Linked DNA regions of Saccharomyces cerevisiae S288C. The protein of the gene in region 2 interacts with the protein of the main gene of each other region in a biochemical or structural test. Each region holds a gene or a part of one and is shown on either strand. Other genes may lie near its edges.

What was found. Proteins that work in one complex are often made in the same cells at the same time.
Region 1: the proteins of PEX12 (region 2) and PEX10 form a complex in vitro, tested with the Saccharomyces cerevisiae proteins (one study listed by BioGRID).
Region 3: the proteins of PEX12 (region 2) and PEX4 form a complex in vitro, tested with the Saccharomyces cerevisiae proteins (3 studies listed by BioGRID).

What each region holds. Positions count from the first base shown.
Region 1 is NC_001136.10:995,806-1,002,491, reverse strand, and holds PEX10 (ubiquitin-protein ligase peroxin 10), read right to left. Parts: upstream 3,629-6,686; coding exon 2,615-3,628; downstream 1-2,614. Other genes in the region: E3 ubiquitin-protein ligase HEL2, read left to right, coding at 469-2,388; palmitoyltransferase AKR1, read left to right, coding at 4,169-6,463. UniProt on the Saccharomyces cerevisiae protein: E3 ubiquitin-protein ligase component of a retrotranslocation channel required for peroxisome organization by mediating export of the PEX5 receptor from peroxisomes to the cytosol, thereby promoting PEX5 recycling.
Region 2 is NC_001145.3:323,658-332,076, forward strand, and holds PEX12 (ubiquitin-protein ligase peroxin 12), read right to left. Parts: upstream 1,779-8,419; coding exon 579-1,778; downstream 1-578. Other genes in the region: CSI1 (Csi1p), read left to right, coding at 1-530; YMR027W (putative methyltransferase), read left to right, coding at 2,220-3,632; TAP42 (Tap42p), read left to right, coding at 3,825-4,925; FAR8 (Far8p), read right to left, coding at 5,003-6,574; RSF1 (Rsf1p), read left to right, coding at 7,136-8,266. UniProt on the Saccharomyces cerevisiae protein: Component of a retrotranslocation channel required for peroxisome organization by mediating export of the PEX5 receptor from peroxisomes to the cytosol, thereby promoting PEX5 recycling.
Region 3 is NC_001139.9:754,094-760,061, forward strand, and holds PEX4 (E2 ubiquitin-protein ligase peroxin 4), read left to right. Parts: upstream 1-2,802; coding exon 2,803-3,354; downstream 3,355-5,968. Other genes in the region: FHN1 (Fhn1p), read left to right, coding at 633-1,157; prohibitin subunit PHB1, read right to left, coding at 1,496-2,359; CCR4-NOT core subunit CAF130, read left to right, coding at 3,677-5,968. UniProt on the Saccharomyces cerevisiae protein: Catalyzes the covalent attachment of ubiquitin to other proteins. Essential for peroxisome biogenesis. Required for UBC4-independent ubiquitination of PEX5.

The DNA of each region.
Region 1 (6,686 bases), on a different chromosome or scaffold from region 2:
AATTCAGGAACTCATATTAACACAGTGATCGATCTGAATTCTAAAAATAAACTTAATGACGATTTTTCTACCTAGTTACATAAACCTTTGTATCACTATAACGCAATTCTGTCATGTGTGACGGAGTGACCTCGTTATACATATCCCTGCATTAAAAGCATGCGGTAAAAACTGAAATTTAAAAATGAAAAAAAAAAAAATTAGATATTCGGAAGACTTGTAATTAAGCATTATCTCGAATAAAGAAAGGTTACACTGAAAGTTTCATACTCGCGGTCACTCTTAATAATAGCTATATTTTCTGATTTTCTCTTAAGATTTTGAAAAGGGCATCTGAACGACTGCCCACTCAGCCATATTCAACAAATCGTCGAGCGCATACCTAGCTGAAAAAGATCCATAAAGTGCATTTTGATACAGTCTCTTTCGTCGAAAAAATAGTGGCTATACTTCTTTTCAAGAATTAGGATGAGCGAATCAGTGAAAGAAAACGTTACTCCGACACGTAACTTCCGTCGTACTCAAGGGCCCCAAAATAATACAAAACCTCACAACGACAGGAAGAATTTCAGAAGAAAGCAAAAGAAAAATAACCTTTCTGCTGAACCCAACCTCACCACTTCAAGCGCAGATGATACTGATGAAGAAAATGAATTATGTGTAATTTGTGCGCGCAAGTTAACATACGTATCTCTAACACCATGCCATCATAAGACATGCCATATCTGTGGTTTCAGACAACGAGCTTTGTACAACAAGAAAAGCTGTTTGATTTGCAGAACGGAGAATGAAGAAGTCATGTTTACCGATCGCATAGATGGTGATATTTCAGATAAATATAACTTTTGCGAAAAAAATGAAAAATATGGAATAAATTTCACTAGCGAAGAGGTTGCTACCGAAACACTAAATCTTTTAAAATTTTTTTGTCCCCTATCGAAGGATGAACAAGTTTGTGACTTTGGTAGTTTCAAGAAATATAATGAACACTTGAAATCTGAACATAACAGAATGATCTGTTTAATATGTGCAACCCATAAGCATGCATTCCCTTGTGAGCTTGAAATATTCACCCAAAATCAATTACGCAACCATCAAACTAAGGGTAATTCAGAAGGATTCAAAGGCCACCCTATGTGTGCCTTCTGTTCCGGAAAACGATTTTATTCAGACGACGAATTGTACATTCACATGAGAAATCAGCATGAAAAGTGCCATATTTGTGATAAGATGAACCCCGCTTCTCCTCAATACTTTAAGGATTATAATCAGCTTTTTGACCACTTTAAACATTCGCATTACGTTTGCACCGTCCAAACTTGCTTAGATAACAAGTTTGTCGTATTTAAAGACGAGTTGGAGTTACAAGCCCACATTTTGCAGGAGCATGGTAATATCCTGAAGGGAAAGCCAAAGTTTTTCCAGTCAGAACTTTCTACTTTTATCTCGGCTCCATCTAGAGTGATCAGGGAAAGAGATGATTACGACCTTCCATCTATATCTTCCCTACCGGGTTCATCATCCGGCTCTAGAACTGATGTGAGATCTGCTAGTTCTCCCGAGGAAAGTAGACTAAGATTGGCAGAAAGAGCAAAATACTATCTGGAAAATTCCAAAGAAGACTTCAATAAGTTTTCTTCTTATAACGAAGATTATTCTAAAGGTCGCTTAAGTGCTGAAAAATTATTGGAATCATATAAATTGTTATTCACAAAACCAAATGCGGATGTATATTTATTGATTCATAACTTAGCTGAAACCTTTCCCAAAAACTCCTCCAAATACAATAATCTGAACGCCATATATGAACAAAGAGAGCAAACCCTTGCACGACAAACTTCACTACCTTCTTTATCTAGTGATTCTTCCCTTTCAATGTCAATAGGCAGGGGCCATTGGGGTGGAACAAACGATGGGGGCAGCGCTGGTGCAGCATTAGGCGTTAGGAATATCAAAAATCTTCCAACCCTGAAAAGTCCTTCAGCGTCGTATGATCCCTTTGCAACCACCGTAAAAAAAAACACTCTGAGACCCGTGCAAAACATTAAAAGAACTACACCTCAATCAGTTAGTTATCGAACTTCCACTAATACAGTCGCCTTCTCTCCAACCTATTTGGAAAGTAAAAAGGGTTCCTCTTCTACTTCTCTAAATAATAGCAAAGATAAATTGAAAAGTCTCAACCTACCTCAACTACCTCCACCAAAGCCAAAGGTGCAAATTCCAGGTCTGAACAGACCCCAAATTGCTGATCCTAAGCAGTGGGGTAAAAAGTCAAGCACACAAGATACTAACGTGCACGATAATTTGAGGGAATTGAACACAACTAGTGGAGGAAATAAAAAGAAAGGCAAACAAAAGCAGCTGTTATTCCACATTGGTGTATAGTTGGAAATATATTTCTAACCTGTAACTGACAATAGCATTAGAGAAATGAAAGTCTTAAATAAAATTCCGATAAAGAAAAACTTATTTAATTAATTAATATAATTACAAGACTAAAAAGCATTATTTCCCCTTCGCGTTTTACTTCTCCTGCTCAGACGTCTGCGTTATTTCTGAAAAAGGCCTGTGGACAATGCTAAAAGAGTAGTCAAATTATTGATTAGTTCCTCTATTGCCGCAGGACCAGAATTTCCTGTGGTTGACAGTGTTGTCTGCACAAGGGGCATTCTGGCCTCTCTTTACACCAGCTCATAAGACAACTCCAACAAAATAGATGTCCACATGGCGCGCAGCTAGGATCACTCATGTTCATGAGACATAGGATGCATTTTCTCGAGGCTTCTGGAATAAATGGCAATTGGTTTTTATCTGACAAATTTATATGAGTCAGCTGCGATTCCTTCGGTATGCCTTCTATAGATTCATGTTCTGAACGCTCCTGTAGACCAACAGACGACCTAGTAATTGAATCATTGGTCCTTTTTCTCCCATAAATCCAGGACCCGAGCGTAGAGGTTAGGACAGGGTACCATTTCATAACATTTTGAGCTAATAGGATATAACCTAATACTTTGTACTTTTGTGAGCCCTCTTCTCTAAAATTGGCCTCATTTTTTGACAATATATGTTTAAAAACATATCTCATACCAAAAATCCTTTTGGAAATACTGTAAAAAGCTCCTTTGAAATAAAAGAGGGTCATGTGTACGTCTAAAATGAAATCTAAAAGGCCCTTACAAAACGCGGCAACACTTTCAGTATCTTCAATTTTACTTTCCTTGTTGTTCTTCATTATTTTCTTGTATAGTTTGGTGATGAAATATGGACATAAAGGATAAGCGAAAGCGAATACAATCATTTTGAGCCGTCCTGCAAGTCTGGTACCCTTCCTATTAGTGTATGTCAAGTCAACATATTCCTCACCTAACGTTCTACCACGTCTTCCTGTAGTAAAGAGCAAATACAGGAGCTTGGCAAATATGGACAGTTCCTTAGGGTAAGAGTTAACAAACAATTGACTCTTTATCAATTTGCACAATTCAGTCACTTTCATAATCAAAAGGCCCTGGATTTGTTCATCTTTTTGATGCGCTTGTACTATACTTGGAGCATCGGCAAATGGAAATCTTAGCTGCGATAGTCGCATAAGTGCTTCCTTTTGCAACTTATTATCATTCTTCATTTTGGTCCTCTATTGTATGACCCCCCACCGATGTAGTAGTGTCTGTTTCTTTCTTCGATGTGTAGTGTGCTTTATTACCACTACCTTATTTTTCTAATGTAAACGGCTAATACCTACTTCGCCCTCTCAGATTATCACGGTGGGTAAAAATTGTGATAAAACCGGCTGATTACTTGCAAGAAGATGCACATATGGACAGCTCATGTAGCTGTTGAGACGTTATCATTGTTAGAACTTTGGCTCCTATAATATTATCAATTCACGTTTTGCTGCTTATTCCTCCGAACGACTTTTAGCATTGGGTTACTCTGATCACAAACATCCGTACCCTACACTCCGGGTGATAAAGCCAGCCCATTGTTTCGTACTTTCTTATTACACCCTCATATTGAACGATCTATAAAACGAAGTAATGTACAGACACAAGTGCAAGCGAGGAATATATACGGTCGATTAGTAGATTACAAACCACGAAGTAGAATATATCATTTCCGTTTCGTCTAGATAAAAAAACACTTCTTTGTTCAGAGTAGCTAATTGATGGTGAACGAATTAGAGAATGTGCCACGGGCGTCGACCTTGACGAATGAAGAGCAAACGGTTGATCCTAGCAATAACGACTCACAGGAAGATATTAGTCTGGGTGATTCTAACGAAATTACTTCGTTGGCATCATTAAAGGCTATCCGATCAGGAAATGAAGAGGAAAGCGGGAACGAGCAGGTGAATCATAATGATGAGGCCGAAGAAGATCCTCTGTTAACTCGCTACCATACCGCTTGCCAAAGAGGTGATCTAGCGACTGTCAAAGAAATGATACATGGAAAGTTGCTCGAAGTTAATAACGACGGTGACTCTACGGAACATATCACTGGTTTGCATTGGGCAAGTATTAATAACAGACTTTCTGTAGTGGATTTTCTAGTTTCACAAGGCGCTGATGTCAATGCAAGGGCTGGTGCTTTGCATGCCACACCATTACATTGGGCTGCAAGGTATGGGTACGTGTACATTGTCGATTTTTTGCTTAAGCATGGAGCTGATCCCACCATGACCGATGACCAAGGTTTCAATCTACTACACTTATCTGTGAACAGCTCAAATATAATGCTAGTTCTATACGTTTTATTCAACGTTGTCAGCAAAGGTCTTTTAGATATAGATTGCCGAGACCCAAAGGGCAGAACTTCACTACTATGGGCTGCTTACCAGGGAGATTCCCTAACTGTAGCAGAATTGTTGAAATTTGGTGCCAGCATAAAGATCGCAGATACAGAAGGATTCACCCCACTGCACTGGGGCACTGTAAAAGGGCAACCACATGTACTAAAATACTTGATTCAAGATGGTGCAGATTTTTTCCAAAAAACGGATACCGGAAAAGATTGCTTTGCTATTGCTCAAGAAATGAACACTGTGTACTCACTTAGAGAGGCTCTAACACATTCTGGATTCGACTACCATGGTTATCCCATTAAAAAATGGTTCAAAAAAAGTCAACATGCTAAGCTCGTTACATTCATAACGCCATTTCTATTTCTAGGAATCGCATTTGCTCTTTTCTCTCATATTAACCCTTTGTTTGTAATCATTGTCCTTTTTTTATTGGCCATTGCCACTAACAAAGGCTTGAACAAATTCGTTCTGCCGTCATATGGACGAATGGGTGTCCACAACGTTACCTTGTTAAGGTCACCTTTGTTATCCGGTGTTTTTTTTGGCACTTTACTTTGGGTGACTATCGTTTGGTTTTTCAAAGTTATGCCTCGAACATTTTCTGATGAACAATATACTAACATCCTAATGCTGGTAATACTTGTTTCTGTATTTTACCTTTTTGGGCAGCTTGTTATTATGGACCCAGGATGTTTGCCAGAAGAAACTGATCATGAGAACGTGCGACAAACAATCTCGAACTTGCTCGAAATCGGTAAATTTGATACGAAGAACTTTTGTATCGAAACTTGGATTAGAAAACCTCTAAGAAGCAAATTTTCGCCCTTAAACAATGCTGTGGTTGCAAGATTTGATCATTACTGCCCTTGGATCTTTAATGATGTCGGACTCAAAAATCACAAAGCATTTATATTTTTTATTACATTAATGGAAAGTGGTATTTTCACATTTCTTGCACTTTGCCTGGAATATTTTGATGAACTTGAAGATGCACACGAAGATACATCCCAGAAAAATGGCAAATGTTTCATCCTAGGCGCTTCAGATCTCTGTTCGGGATTAATATATGATAGATTTGTCTTTCTGATATTATTATGGGCTTTACTCCAATCTATTTGGGTTGCAAGTTTGATCTTCGTCCAAGCCTTTCAAATATGTAAAGGAATGACCAATACAGAATTCAATGTTTTGATGAAAGAGAGTAAGTCCATTGGCCCCGATGGGTTATCTTTCAATGAAAACTTCAATACTACTCCAGAAGGATTTGCGCCGTCGATTGATCCGGGTGAGGAGAGTAATGATACTGTACTAGCACCAGTCCCAGGCTCAACGATAAGGAAACCACGCACTTGTTTTGGCGTTTGTTACGCGGTGACTGGTATGGATCAGTGGTTAGCGGTTATAAAAGAAACCATTGGCATCAAGGATAGCACCGGACATAATGTGTATTCGATTACATCAAGAATACCAACAAATTACGGTTGGAAAAGAAATGTTAAAGACTTTTGGCTTACAAGCGATATAAATGCGCCTTTGTGGAGGCGAATTTTGTATCCTCCTTCGGGCTCTAAAGCTTTGCTCAACGGGATAGAAGTTGACTATTTTAAGCTTTACAAATTGCCAAATAAGGATGTTGAACAAGGAAATGATATGGTATGAAAATTTTGTTGTTTTCATTAGGAGAAACTGTATATTTTAGCCTTTTATCAAACAACTGTGAGTATAGAAAAGTTTATGCCTCAAGCTGCAGTGCTTCTTATAAGTGATTGGCTGAATCAAGGACTATTAGGAAAGCTCATGAGGTGGTTAATAAATGTTTAGCTGAAAAAATGAAGATAGCCACATTTGTAACATTCATTTCAAAGCACATATATATATAATA
Region 2 (8,419 bases):
TGACCGCCTTGGCATTGAAATATCTGATAAAATATAACGTGTTTCGCCAACATACCTCCTTCCAAGAAGCTGTCAATAGTTTAAAGGGTTATAAAATTGAAAATAGTGTACAGATAGGCGCGGAAATTATCCTTGATTTTCTACAAGATAAAGTGCAAATTAAGGATGTAAATGACAGATACCAAATTCCCACACCTAATAATACCGTAGACCCAGGTTTTGATGAGTTTCAATTAATTGACATGAAGGATAAAGAAATCAATATTCAAAAATATAATAATAATACCATAAGAAAATTACTCGAGAAGATTAATCGAATGATAATATTCTTGAAAAATTATGATGCCACTGACAAGCCTTTCTCTTCCACGCAAGATGTAATACTTCGAAAAATATCAATGCTTGTAACACAACTGCAAAGAGGTGGAACAAGTGACATGAATTACCTGCTGGATAACAAAATTAATGAAATAAAATTATTAGAAATTTCGTGTAAACAATGGGAAATTTCAAATATGTTAAAAAAATAACTAGAATATATATATTACACAGAATTATTTTCTTCACTTCCTCCGTCATCAGATTAGTAGCTTCCTAATACCTGTCACAACTTCCCATTTATTCGTGTGTTTGTTGTATGTACAACCCAGCAGCTTTTTATTGGTAACGGGACAATGGCCTTCATTATTAACCAAATAGCTTATGGCACACGGGTAGCATGCCACGTATCCTGTTTCCAATACACAGGGGTTTTGTACAGTTTTTTCGCAAACGGGACAGGCCTCAGAAACTCCCTCTTTATCTTCCGTTTTGTCACTATGTGAGGAGAAAGGCGGCCTTGGAATATCTTCATCCAAGTCATTGACCCTTTTCTGCAATTTAGTAGTCATGTCTTGTGTGGTCCACCATTGGTACACTCTTAGGACAAATATAAAAGTGGGGAAGAATTGCGAACCCATAAATGTTAAAAATCTGGGTATAATCGATAATTGTCCTTGCATTAGCGCGAAAATTGACGATATATTTGTTTTCCTTAGCCTATTATCCATCCCTTTCGTCTCTTTGAGACCAGAGAGTTCTGACGATAGTGGTCTTACCGTTGTGTACTCTATCTTGAATAAGTATTGCAACAAGGAAACCGACCCTGTTCTTTTAGTTAAAAATAATAATTTAACGAGTAAATTGGATAACGCTAATAATTTCTTAATAAATGGATAAATTCTTAGAAACGCTCTCTTGGGCCATTTATTTTCAGTTTCATCGCTGCTGAATATATTATTCATTGATATTTTCTCTAATATTTCATCCAACTTCGCTGTGATATAGGGGAGAATAATTTTTTCCAAAAAAATAACACTCTTTTGCTGTTGATTCAGCTGCAAACCTTGGGGCCATTCACTCTGGCCCTTTGGATTTAAACATTGTGTTAAGGCAAGATTTCTGTCCCTCGAACTAAATAGTTGCAATCCATAAAACCGATCAATAAACGTAGAATTGTATGTCTTTAGATGATACCATTCAACAAACCCTTTTATCGCTTGAAACCACTCAAAAAAGTACTTGTTCAGCCGCAAAGTATACCTGTTAGGGAAGTTCGCCACTAAATGATTTGCCAGTAGATAACGGATGGATGCGGGCAGTAACGAATCGATTTCTTGTGATGACATTATCTCAAAGATAGTCGGATACAATGGTTCTAATCCCACCCCATTTCGACCGCTTGTTGAAGACCCTCGACTAGATTGTCCTGCAGACGGTAGGTTTGAATAAAAGCTCATCACTTGACGACTACCTTCCTTTCCTTTGCTTTATTTTCCCTGCTTATTCCCTTGCTTCTTCTGGAGCCTTCATGCAAAACCGTTTCTCTACCTAATGTGATTCTGCGGTAAGCATTGCTCTTAAGCATCTGAATGAGACGAAAGGATGACTCCACACTAAATTGTACCTCTCTTCTCCAGTGACTGAATTGGAGGTTACCATTGCCAGTGACGGTAATCGTCCACATCGATGATTTCTTAGTATAACCCACACACCTCTCAGACATAGAGGCCCCAGGTGCAACGTGATAGTATAACTGCCCGGAAGTAGAAATACAACTATTCCCTTCATATTAAAAGAATAAAACTTCATTTGAACTCTTTAAAATTTAGTGGTTCATTGTGGTCCTTGTGTAAACGGAAAAAAAGGATATTACGGTAGTGGGTAGTACATAACAAGAGATGACTATCCCTGGAAGATTTATGACAATTGATAAGGGCACTTTTGGTGAATACACTGCTAGCACCCGTTGGCCCATTATCATTCAGAATGCTATAGACGATTTAAGTAAGCATCAAGAAACGGAGAAGAGTAACGGCACTAAGTTCGAACAAGGTGAAGTTATCAAAAAGGAGCTCAAGGAATTCCGTCAGGAGATAATTGATCGTGTACCTTTGAGACCCTTTACTGAAGAAGAGATCAAAATTGCCAACGTCCCGCTTTCGTTCAATGAATATCTAAAGAAACACCCTGAAGTCAATTGGGGGGCTGTAGAGTGGCTGTTCTCGGAGGTTTACTTGTATAGAAGAGTAAATGTTCTTTTCCAACGCCAATGCGAATGGGCTAAATTTGACATATTCAACAGACTTAAACAGTCAACTTTTGAGTCCTCGTTTTATGGTGTCGTGGAATTGGCGTTAAGGTATGAAAATCTGTTACCACAGCTGAGAGAAATGAAGCAAAATCCAGGAAATGAGATTGACGATATATTGAAAGTTCTTTTTAAAGAGTTTATTGAGATTTCTTTGTGGGGCAATGCCACTGATTTATCTTTATTGACCAACGCTACGTTAGAAGACATTAAATCAATCCAAGGGGCGAAAGCAAGAGCTGCATCCGAGTCCAAGATTGTTGTTAATGACACGGAGAAAGCATGGGAGGTATTAACCAAAGCCAGGGCCGATGCCAATAGCAGAGAAATTCGTGTTGATTTTGTATTAGACAATTCTGGCTTTGAATTGTATGCTGACTTGATGTTGGCAGCTTTTCTGTTACAAAGTGGTTTGGCTACCAAATGTATTTTCCACGCTAAAGACATTCCATACATGGTTAGCGATGTTATGTTAAAAGATTTTGATATATTAGTTCATGACCTGAGAGATCGTGAGTTCTTCCCAAGTGGTGAACCCTCGACAAAGGAATCCAGAGCTCTTGATTTATTTGCTGGTGAAATGGAAAAGTTCGTCTCTAGCGGTAAGATAGAATTCCGCGAAGATTCTTTCTGGACCACGGAATTAGATTATTGGAATTTGGACGCAAACGAAACCAAATACCATGGATCCATTTTGCACAAAGATTTGCAAAAATCCAATTTGGTTATTTTTAAGGGTGATCTAAACTATAGAAAATTAACTGGCGACAGAAAATGGCCCCGCACCACTAAATGGGAAACGGCTATCGGACCTCTTGCTACGAATGGTATTACATCATTGAGCTTGAGAACCTGTAAAGCCGATGTACAAGTTGCTTTACCTGAAGGTCTAGACGCGAAATTAAGTCAAGAATGGGAAAAGGAAAATCCTGGCCGTGGTTCTTGGTGGTGTTGTAGCGGTAAATGGGCAGTCATTTGTTTCTGCTCTGGTATACATAAATAAGAATATGATAAGTTCTCTATATAACTTTACTTTATGACTTTCCCTATGAAATGTTCCAAAAAAGCACATAGATTTTTAGTACGTGCCTTTTATTTTATGTACTTCTGATAAAAAAAAGAAAGCTCCTAAGGACAAATTACAATCAATGGCGAAAGAAGAGGAAGAAAGTAATAACGAGGAGAGATCATAAACATGGCGTCAGTAACAGAACAATTCAACGATATTATTAGCTTATACTCAACAAAATTGGAACACACATCTTTGAGGCAAGATTCACCAGAGTACCAGGGATTATTACTTTCCACGATCAAGAAATTATTAAACTTAAAAACAGCAATTTTTGACAGGTTGGCATTGTTCAGTACTAATGAGACCATTGATGATGTGTCTACTGCTTCCATCAAATTTCTAGCAGTTGATTACTATTTAGGATTATTGATATCAAGACGACAGTCGAATGATTCGGATGTTGCTCAAAGGCAGTCTATGAAATTGATTTACCTGAAAAAAAGCGTTGAATCTTTCATTAATTTCCTGACACTATTGCAGGATTATAAGCTTCTAGATCCTTTGGTTGGTGAAAAACTAGGTAACTTCAAGGATCGTTATAACCCTCAGCTTAGCGAATTGTACGCGCAACCAAAAAATAACAAAGATTTATCTGGAGCACAGTTGAAGAGAAAAGAAAAGATTGAGCTATTCCAGCGCAATAAAGAAATTAGCACAAAACTGCACTGCTTGGAGTTGGAATTAAAAAACAACGACGAGGACCACGACCATGATGAATTACTAAGAGAACTATATTTGATGAGGTTACATCACTTTAGTCTTGATACGATTAACAACATTGAACAGAATTTATTTGAATGTGAAATGCTCTCTAATTTCCTCAAAAATTCCGTACATGAAGTCAAATCATCAGGTACTCAGATACGAAAAGAATCGAATGATGATGATTCCACTGGTTTTACCGATAAATTAGAGAATATAAATAAGCCATTGATAGACAAAAAAGGTCAAGTCTTGAGGAACTTCACGCTTGTCGACAAAAGGCAACAACTGCAACAAAAAGTGCGAGGATATGGTCAATATGGACCAACAATGTCGGTGGAGGAATTTTTAGATAAAGAGTTTGAAGAAGGTCGCGTTCTTCAAGGTGGCGAAGAACCAGAGCAAGCACCAGATGAAGAAAACATGGACTGGCAAGATAGAGAAACCTATAAAGCTCGTGAGTGGGACGAGTTCAAGGAAAGTCATGCTAAGGGAAGCGGAAATACCATGAATAGAGGATAGAAAAAAATACCTATATACGTACACATAAGTATCTATTAGACAGATTCATATATTATTTTTTTTTCTGCCTACATCAGTTATATTTTAATCTTGTGCAAAAGGACTTCGTTATTTTTATTCACGGTGATTAACACCGGCGTAGAATCTACAATCAGATTTGAAGAAAATACCACAGGCTCTTTTCTTTCCGAGAAGTTGATGTCTGCTACGACAAATTCGTCGATGGATGGTTTTAGGTTTTCTAAATTCCTAAACTCAAAGTCTCCATTACTATATGATACGGTGATTATGCTGTCGTTCAAATCGAGTTGTATTGGTAGTGTTGACGATGGAGTCAATTGTTCCTTCAGTACAACTTTTTTCTTATCAAAAGAATAAACCAATAATCTCTCATTGCTTAGCTGAATCAGTAGCTTAGAAGTTTTTCTATCCAAAAATAAATGGTAACCTTCTTCTTCTGGCTTACCCGATAATATTGTATCAATCTTCAAATCAATTTTTTGTAGAAGCTTACCCTCGAAATCATATATGGTAAGCTGGTATGGATTTGAAGACAGTAATATTAAGGATTTTTCTGTTATACCCAATATACAATCCAGAATGTTTGTGGAATCATTACTATCATCGTCATCATTATCATGTGTTATTTCATATGTTTCTTTTATGTTAATTGGGACATCCTCAGGAGCCTCTATATTGTCCAATTCCCAGATTCTAATTTGAGATTTATTCTTACTAGCTATCAACAACCATTTATTTTTGAAGTCTATATTAATGATATCACTAGACGAAAACGGCTGTTCTGAGTCTTGTAATAGGTCCACATCTGAGATCAAAGATGCGCTAGAAATAGAGAACAATTTCAAATGGAAACTCTTTTCAATAACAAGGAGTTTGGACGTCGAAACCCAGAAAAATTTCATAATGTCGCTATCTTGCCCTAAAGATATTTTCTTTAAGAGTTTGGAATTCAAGTTTGCGTCCACTTGGTGTATTTCTAACGATTTGGTGTCTGCATCATAAAGTGCCATACAGTCCCCGTAGGAGCTGATAATGTCGACTTTCGACAATTCCGAGTGTATCTTGGATATTGTTTCATTATTTTCACGCTTGTTGGCTGTGCTAAACAAAGATTTCACTTTGGTTGGTGATGGTGACTCTGAAGGACCTTGCTTTGGATTGGGTTTGGTGTCCAAGAGGGCATTATTTAAAATATCCATCCCATTTGTCTTCGCACTGCCCTCTTCCTTGGGAGTATTCACGTTCAGTTTCTCTAAATCGTGCAATTCAGAACCCGCTTCTCTGCTATTTAATGACTCTAACTGATTGACCGTGTTAGGGCCTTTCAACAAATAAATTATTTCCTTCACATTTTCTTGAACAGCTAGCTTAGACTGCAGTAATGAATCAGGCACATGTTTTTCTTCCTTTTCACCTTCAGGAGAAACAGCTTTCGATTGTATTTGATTCAATTGATGCTTCAAATCTCTATTTTCGCCCTCTAGTTCTGCAATTCTTGCTTTCATTTCCGACCTTTCTAGCTCCCAGGTGATTCTATCTCTTTCATTCTTCGTGAACTCCGTTTGCAAGTAGTGCATTACACCAGGTAACGTGTAATGCGGATGAACATGTGCCTGGTTAATAGCCATATTGTTTTCCGGTCTAACTACACGCACTTACTTCTTTTGGGTTTCTTTATTAATGTTGTTGCTTGCTCCTCACATTTAGTCGTTCTAGGTGGCTTTTATCTAAGATTACGCGACGGGGAAGATCGCAAAGTTAAGACCAATAGAGTACTATACCATATCCCAACAAAGAAGCCTAGGGGATGGTGCAGCAGTAAAAACTGAATAGACTATAATAGATCATCCTACGTAAAACCCGAATAGGTTATCTCTTAAACCTTGTTTTCCTGTAAAGTTGTCCCGCGCATGTGAAGACGCAGAGAGTGGAGATCAATCTTAAAACAACTGAAGCAACTAGCACTTTCTTGACATTTAATAAGGAACTATTATCGCGTAAACCAAAAGAAACGCATGTAAAACATCTGCAAGTTACTCCATCATCTGACACCTAGAGACGTACGTATCAGAACGATTTGAGTGGAGGGGTACAAAAAGGGACTCTGTAGATCAAAAACTGTAATATTATCCTTTTTTTTACTTTCTGAGAAGCTATTCGAAAACAAGGAGATAGAACTACAAGCAGTTATGAAGGACCTAAATCCAGAAATGGGGAAATTTGCTACCACTAAAGGCCCTCCTCAAGACAATAGAGGCATGGTTGATATAGCGACACTGCCTAATTTTCCTGCCAACCGTAGTGGGACTCCTCGTGAGGAGATGTATCTGGCGCCCAACAAGATGGAAACTCCAAGGATACTTAATATGAATATGGTACCGGATTATTTGCAAAAAGAGAACTTCTCGCCAGATTTTTCTTCTGCTACCGTATCTGCCAAGTCATCTCCTGTCAACGTTACTCATGATGAGTCGCTTCCTCTGGGAACTATTGAATCGAATAGCACAAAGGATTCTAAATATGCAGTTCAACGGCAACAGCAACAAGTGGTAGATTTCATAGAGAATAATATGCAGCTACTGTCTTCAGAAACACTAAATTTTAGATCAGACATTATGAAAACTTTGGAGCTTCCCATTCCCAAGAGAAGAGATATTAAGGGAAACCATCTATCTAAACTATTATTTGCTAAATCACCTCTAACTATCAACACATATTGCCAATTTTATGACCGTAGAACCAAGCGAATTTGCAATCAAGAAATGATATGGAAAGATAAGAACAGTAGAGAGAAGCATGGTTCTAGAAAGTATCAAAGACATTTGAGTAAAGTTCACGATGTCCAGCTAACACCAAATAATTTTACCGAATTTTTTGATCATAATTCTCCACTTTTCCAGGAATGCTATGACTATCAATCTAGATTGATGCGTGATTTACTTGTTGAACCAGATGCCAAATTCAAAGAGAAGAAAAAGAAGAAAAAAGGGGACGTCAACGGAAATCATCCTGAAACCGGATCGAGCCTCATCAACCACCAGGTCCAACAGCAAAATGTTCGAGAACTTCAATCGAAAATAGCCATGAACGACTTGATAGAGATTCTTATCGATTTAAACATTCCGTTTTCTGTTTTAGACTACCAACCAATGAGAAATTGGCTCATCAAATATTCAATAATTTCAACAGATACTTTGCCGGATGAAGTATACTTCAAAACTGATCCAGGCGTGAATGAACTGGAACACAACAGTAGTAATTTAAACAATAGCAATAGCGGTACTCCTCATAATCATAATCAAAACCAACATACCAATTAATTAAAACTTGCTTTTAATCTGCATACATAAAACTTAGATCAAATAAATAAAAAAAAAAGTAAAACAACCATATATACTATTTCATAAGCAAAAGTAATCAAATTAAACAAAAAAAAGAAAATACAAATATTAAATTTAAATTAAGGCAATAAA
Region 3 (5,968 bases), on a different chromosome or scaffold from region 2:
CGTTTAAGGTGAGAACCCTTTACTTCATAGCCTTTGTAGATCTTTCTATTGCTACCATTGAAGGGTCGGTGACGTGGAAATTTTGACATTTATCAGTGGCGTATTGGGAGGCAAGCAATTGAAAGAACTGTGATTTATTTCCGCTTGTTCGAAATTATTGATGTTTAGCACTTTGCAGTAGCGACAATACAATATATGTGCTTTTAGTGCTGGGATAGTTCGTAGCTCCATTTCGGGGCGCTTGTTACATTTATTGTATATGCGCGGATGTGGCACATGCTGTTGAGATCTCACTCCTTTGGTATCTCTTTCCTGCGCCGCATTGTGCCGGCAGAATGTCGCGCTTGTATTCTCATGAACTTTTCCTCTTTACGAACCCTTTGGCGGCATGCCGTTTAAAATCTGTTGAAGATTTCCTTTACGAACAATGAGCAATGTTTTGCACAGGCAGGTGGGAAGTAGGGCCTATCGCGCCTTGGATGCAGATATAAGTATAAATATAAATTATAATAATTGGCTGTATCAGTAAATCCTTCTTGCGATGGGAGGAAGCACGATAGAGTATGTTAAGCTTTTGAGAGGCTTCATATTCATTGGAATTTTAAATAACAATAAAGCAACAACAATAATAAATGCTATCAGCTGCAGATAATTTAGTGCGCATCATAAATGCTGTTTTTCTTATTATATCCATAGGTCTAATCAGCGGCCTGATAGGTACACAGACAAAGCATAGTTCTCGAGTGAACTTTTGTATGTTTGCCGCCGTTTATGGTCTGGTTACGGATTCATTATATGGGTTTTTGGCTAATTTCTGGACATCATTAACATACCCAGCAATTTTGCTTGTTTTGGATTTTTTAAATTTCATATTTACGTTTGTAGCAGCCACCGCTTTGGCTGTAGGTATAAGATGCCATTCGTGTAAAAACAAAACATATCTGGAACAGAATAAGATCATACAAGGCTCAAGCTCCAGATGTCATCAATCTCAGGCTGCTGTTGCGTTTTTTTACTTTTCCTGTTTTCTATTCCTCATCAAAGTGACTGTGGCCACGATGGGTATGATGCAAAATGGTGGATTTGGCTCTAATACCGGATTCAGCAGAAGGAGGGCAAGAAGACAAATGGGCATACCTACAATTTCCCAGGTTTAAGCCTACTGGACTGAAAAAAAGGCAATTCGCGTACAATTTTCGTTGATCGTTCTTTATATAACCTTTGCATTAAATAAATTTAACAAAAAAAGTTCTTTCTAAAATAATATTATGGTGATACATGAATGTGCTTTAGTTTTTTCGTAGGCTCATCCATGTATATATATAAATGATAAAAAACTAAGTTACGATATTGATAGCATACGTATTCGTGTTGGTAACTAAATGGAAAGATGGAATATGTTATTGGCGTTGTTATCCCCCATATATACAGGTTTCTAATATGATTAAAAAAAAATTTTCTCCCCTAGTTTATTGTGTTCATAGCTTTTCCAGACTTAACGGCCAATGTTCAAAAGCAAGGAATTTGGTGATCCCGAAGACTCGCTGTTACCACCACCAGAATGTTGACTTGGTAAATAGACAACGTTAGATGAGTTTGCTAATGTTTGAGCGATGTCCTTAGAAGCTTCTAATCTTCTAATCAATAACAGACCATCACCAACTTTAGCTAAGGCTTTTGAAATGAATTCAGCACTTTCTGCTTCACCTTCAGCTCTGATAACAGAAGCTTGTCTCTCTTGCTCTGCCTTTTCGACAAGGAATTTGGCTCTTTCGGCATCTTGCTGTGCAATCTGCTTCTGCTCAACTGCTTTCGTGAATTCGGGACCAAACGTCATATGAGTGATAGAGACATCTTCCAACTTAATACCGAATTCGTTGGCCCTCGTAGAAAGCTCTTTTCTGATTTTTTGAGAAATAATTTCTCTCTGAGTAATTAACTCAGCAGCATCAAATTGAGCTACTATAGACTTTAAAACCTCATTGCCGATAGATGGTAACACTCTTTCGTCGTAATCGAGACCCAAATTTTGGTATATTGCGGGTAGCTGTAAGACCTCTGGTCTATGTAAGACTCTCAAGGTCAATGACACCATTTGCAAATCCTTCGTACCAGTATTGGTAGCAATGCTCTTTGGTTTCGTCCTCACATCGTATATGATCGCCTTCTGTAGCCAAGGCACCAAGAAATGAGTGCCTTCACCCACAACCTGTTGCTTTACACCATTGATTCTGTCGAAAATAACACCACGAGAACCACCCTTCACATCATACATGGAGTACTGAATCCCGCTAGCAATTATACCAATGGGCAACGCCACCTTGGTGATGACATCGATAAGTTTGGCAGAATTAGACATTCTTTTCTAAAGTAAATTATTGATTTTGAATGTAAGTTTCGTACCGTTGATGGTTGGTTTACCGATTTATTTTTTTTCCTCTTCTTTCTGCTTAATATTATATACCTCAACCGTTGCATCCATGAGATCGTCAAACTCCCTTTCCCTGAAATTTATTGATGCGATACATTCGCGTTACCCGTATCATCATGAAGACGAGTTTATTCTCATCAGTGTTGATCTCTCATACTTGAATAACTCATTTGCAATGGTCTAAGACTCCAACTATGTAGTCATAGTCATTCACTGAAGTTTCTCTTTTCGAAATCCTGAACGGAAGCGGAATATATGTGGTATATATCGCATATTACTGCTTCACAGCATGCAGCGCAGACTGGCCGGGTTATGCTGCCACTTACTGGAGACAACATAAAATATACATAATCATCGCCTTTATACATAATATGCCAAACTTCTGGATTCTTGAGAATCGTAGGAGCTATACGTCTGATACATGTATGTCGAGGATCGTGAAGGAGTACAAAGTCATACTGAAAACATTGGCCAGTGATGACCCCATAGCGAACCCCTACCGGGGGATAATCGAGTCACTTAACCCGATTGACGAAACCGACTTGAGCAAGTGGGAAGCTATAATTTCTGGGCCGTCAGACACACCTTATGAAAATCATCAGTTTCGAATACTAATAGAAGTCCCTAGTTCCTACCCCATGAATCCACCAAAGATAAGTTTTATGCAGAACAATATTTTGCACTGCAATGTTAAATCAGCCACAGGAGAAATATGTCTGAACATCCTTAAACCAGAGGAGTGGACTCCTGTATGGGATTTGTTACACTGTGTTCATGCTGTTTGGAGACTCCTAAGGGAACCCGTTTGTGATTCTCCACTTGACGTAGACATTGGTAATATCATCCGCTGTGGCGATATGAGTGCCTATCAGGGGATTGTAAAGTACTTCCTAGCAGAAAGAGAGCGGATCAACAACCATTGATACCACGTAGGATGGATGTGTTCGAATGGCAAACAATGGGCCCTCACTTTTATCTGATGCAATTTCTACCTTACCCGGGCAGCGCCAATTTATGAATACAAATACTTTAACAAATTGCACTATTGATGTATTGACACATTTGTATATACATATACATATATTAATAAGGAGCACGAATTTTTGACAAGTAGTGCACGCAATATCTACATTAGTTAGCTTTTCCATTGACGCTGAATTTTATTTTGGCAGCCCAGTAGATCGTTGAGGAGCTTTTTTCAAACACTTTTTCTCTCTTAACTCCACATACTTACGTAAGAAAGTGATGACGAAAAAGAAAGCAGCTACTAATTATGCTGAAAGGCAAAATTTAGCCAGTGAAGATTCTTCAGGTGATTCGGTTCATTTTAAGGACTTTATTCCCTTACAAGAGTTACTGAAAGATAAAAATTATGTTCCATCGGTGGAAAATTTGGAGAAGATCTTATATAATGAAACCATGTTTAATGATCAGAAAATATGCTCTAACCTATTGCTTGAGGCTCTCATAATTACGTTGTTCACAACAATTTCAGGGAAGTCAGCTTTACGATTAATTCAGACTTCTTCTTTGAAGGAAAGAAAATCCTGGGCCCAGTCCTTTGAAAATAACAGTTCTAGCTATGCTTCCATAGTACTGAGTTGGAAAGATAATGATATATTACTCCTGAAATTCTTAAGGTTTTTATTAGCAAATAAAACGGCCCCTCTTCAAATTAATCGGTACAATCTTCCAGAATACAAACTCCCGTTGAGCTTTTTAATTGTTTCAAAAATTACTATTCCGTCCATATTACTCAATGAAACGTATAATTTGTTAAAGGACTATTTGTATTCGATAACTGGCCGTATAGAGAGTTTGATAAGCTGCAGCTCCACATTTGATAAGCCAGCACTTGTCGTTAGAAAAATTTTAAAAGATTACAATAGAATGATAGAATGCCGAAATTTTTATTTCTGGTATTCCTTTAATGCTGAGAACAGAGTAAATCTTACTTTTAGTGATAACATTAGCCTGTTAATGGAAAATGATGAAGGCAATGCTGGAAGTGGCCTTGACGATAGCCGTTTTGATCATCAAAAACAACCGAGAGAGGCGATAATGGGCCGAACAATAAATGACCAGGAACAAATATATTCATTCGAACTGAACCAAGATGGAACGCTTGAAATACCCAACGTTATGGAGCATTCTTTACTAAGACACGAGCTTCTTTTTAAAATATTAAATCTCACTACGGTATTGACGCCATTATTGGAACTACAATTTTCTACGCTATGTGGCTTAGTAGATCCATTAATGCAGCCTACTCCCAATGATAAGCATATTATATCGATAGACTTTCTTTTTCAGCTTTTTTTGGGATTAATGTCTCAGTCGATCAAGACTTCTCAAGAACACAACGACCATTATGACTGGAAATTTTATATGTGTTTTAACATGCAAAAAATTATTGATGCTACCATGTTGAGGCTCAACTGCTTTGATTTTGATATATTAAACTCGGTAAACAATACAGATAATGCAGTTCATTGGAAGACGCAACTTCACAGATGGCTACCGCATGGCCTGAATACACAAGACTTGGAATTACTCTATATGATTGATATACTGGCGGTATATACCATCTACAAGTTGTATGAAAAAATACCTATACAACTAAACCCATTTTTATTTTCATTAATATCCTTATGGAAAAACCTCTCCTGTGTTATACTTTTAGCCTTAGAAATTGATAGAATTGAAGAGGAGAATGGCACTTACGAAACGCCGCTTATGGTTCGCGCCACAATTCGTGGAGCCGCAGCATTGAGGTCTGTAATAGCTACCGTTCTCAATGGATTAGTGAAAAATAATGATCATGATTTCAAGCACGAGTCTTTAAACACATTCATGTCGCCCTATGGAAGAAAATTGTGTCATGGTGCTTTATATGCCGATTTAAGGTCACATACTGCATCTCTACTTGCGCTTGGAGCAAGCATCGAAGATGTAACAGATTTATTTGCCGATTTACAGTCAGGTGATAGATTTGATGAGGATATTAGATATATGTTTGATTATGAATGTGAAGATTATGATGAATCTTTCTCTGAAAGCGATCATGGAGGATTGGATGAAAGCGTTGTTAACCCAACAGAAAAAATAGCATCTGGTAGTAATAATGTTTTCTTTCGGAGACGGTGCAATTGCATCTTCAATGATGATAAGTTGGTGGCAGAGGATGGTGCAAATGAAGCCTTTGGGTCAACAAATAGCGAAAACGTTGAAGGCGCAATGCATAATAATAGGAATGCGGTACATAACGCGACTACAGCCACTTCTGATCACGTCGTTACGTCACCTAACCCACTTTCCGTTAGATCAAGAAGTACTTTTGAATTTGACTATAGTGGGGAAGATTGGAGGGACGTTCCCAGAGATTTCAATATGTACTATTCGCCATCTTATTCATTCATCCATGAGCCTAAGTTAGATGTCATATTTAGTTTGACTCTACGTGGCGCAACAGAAAAGTTGAATAAGGAGGAATCCATATTGTTAGTGCGTTCAGTTGCATCGTGTGTAAGGAACGAG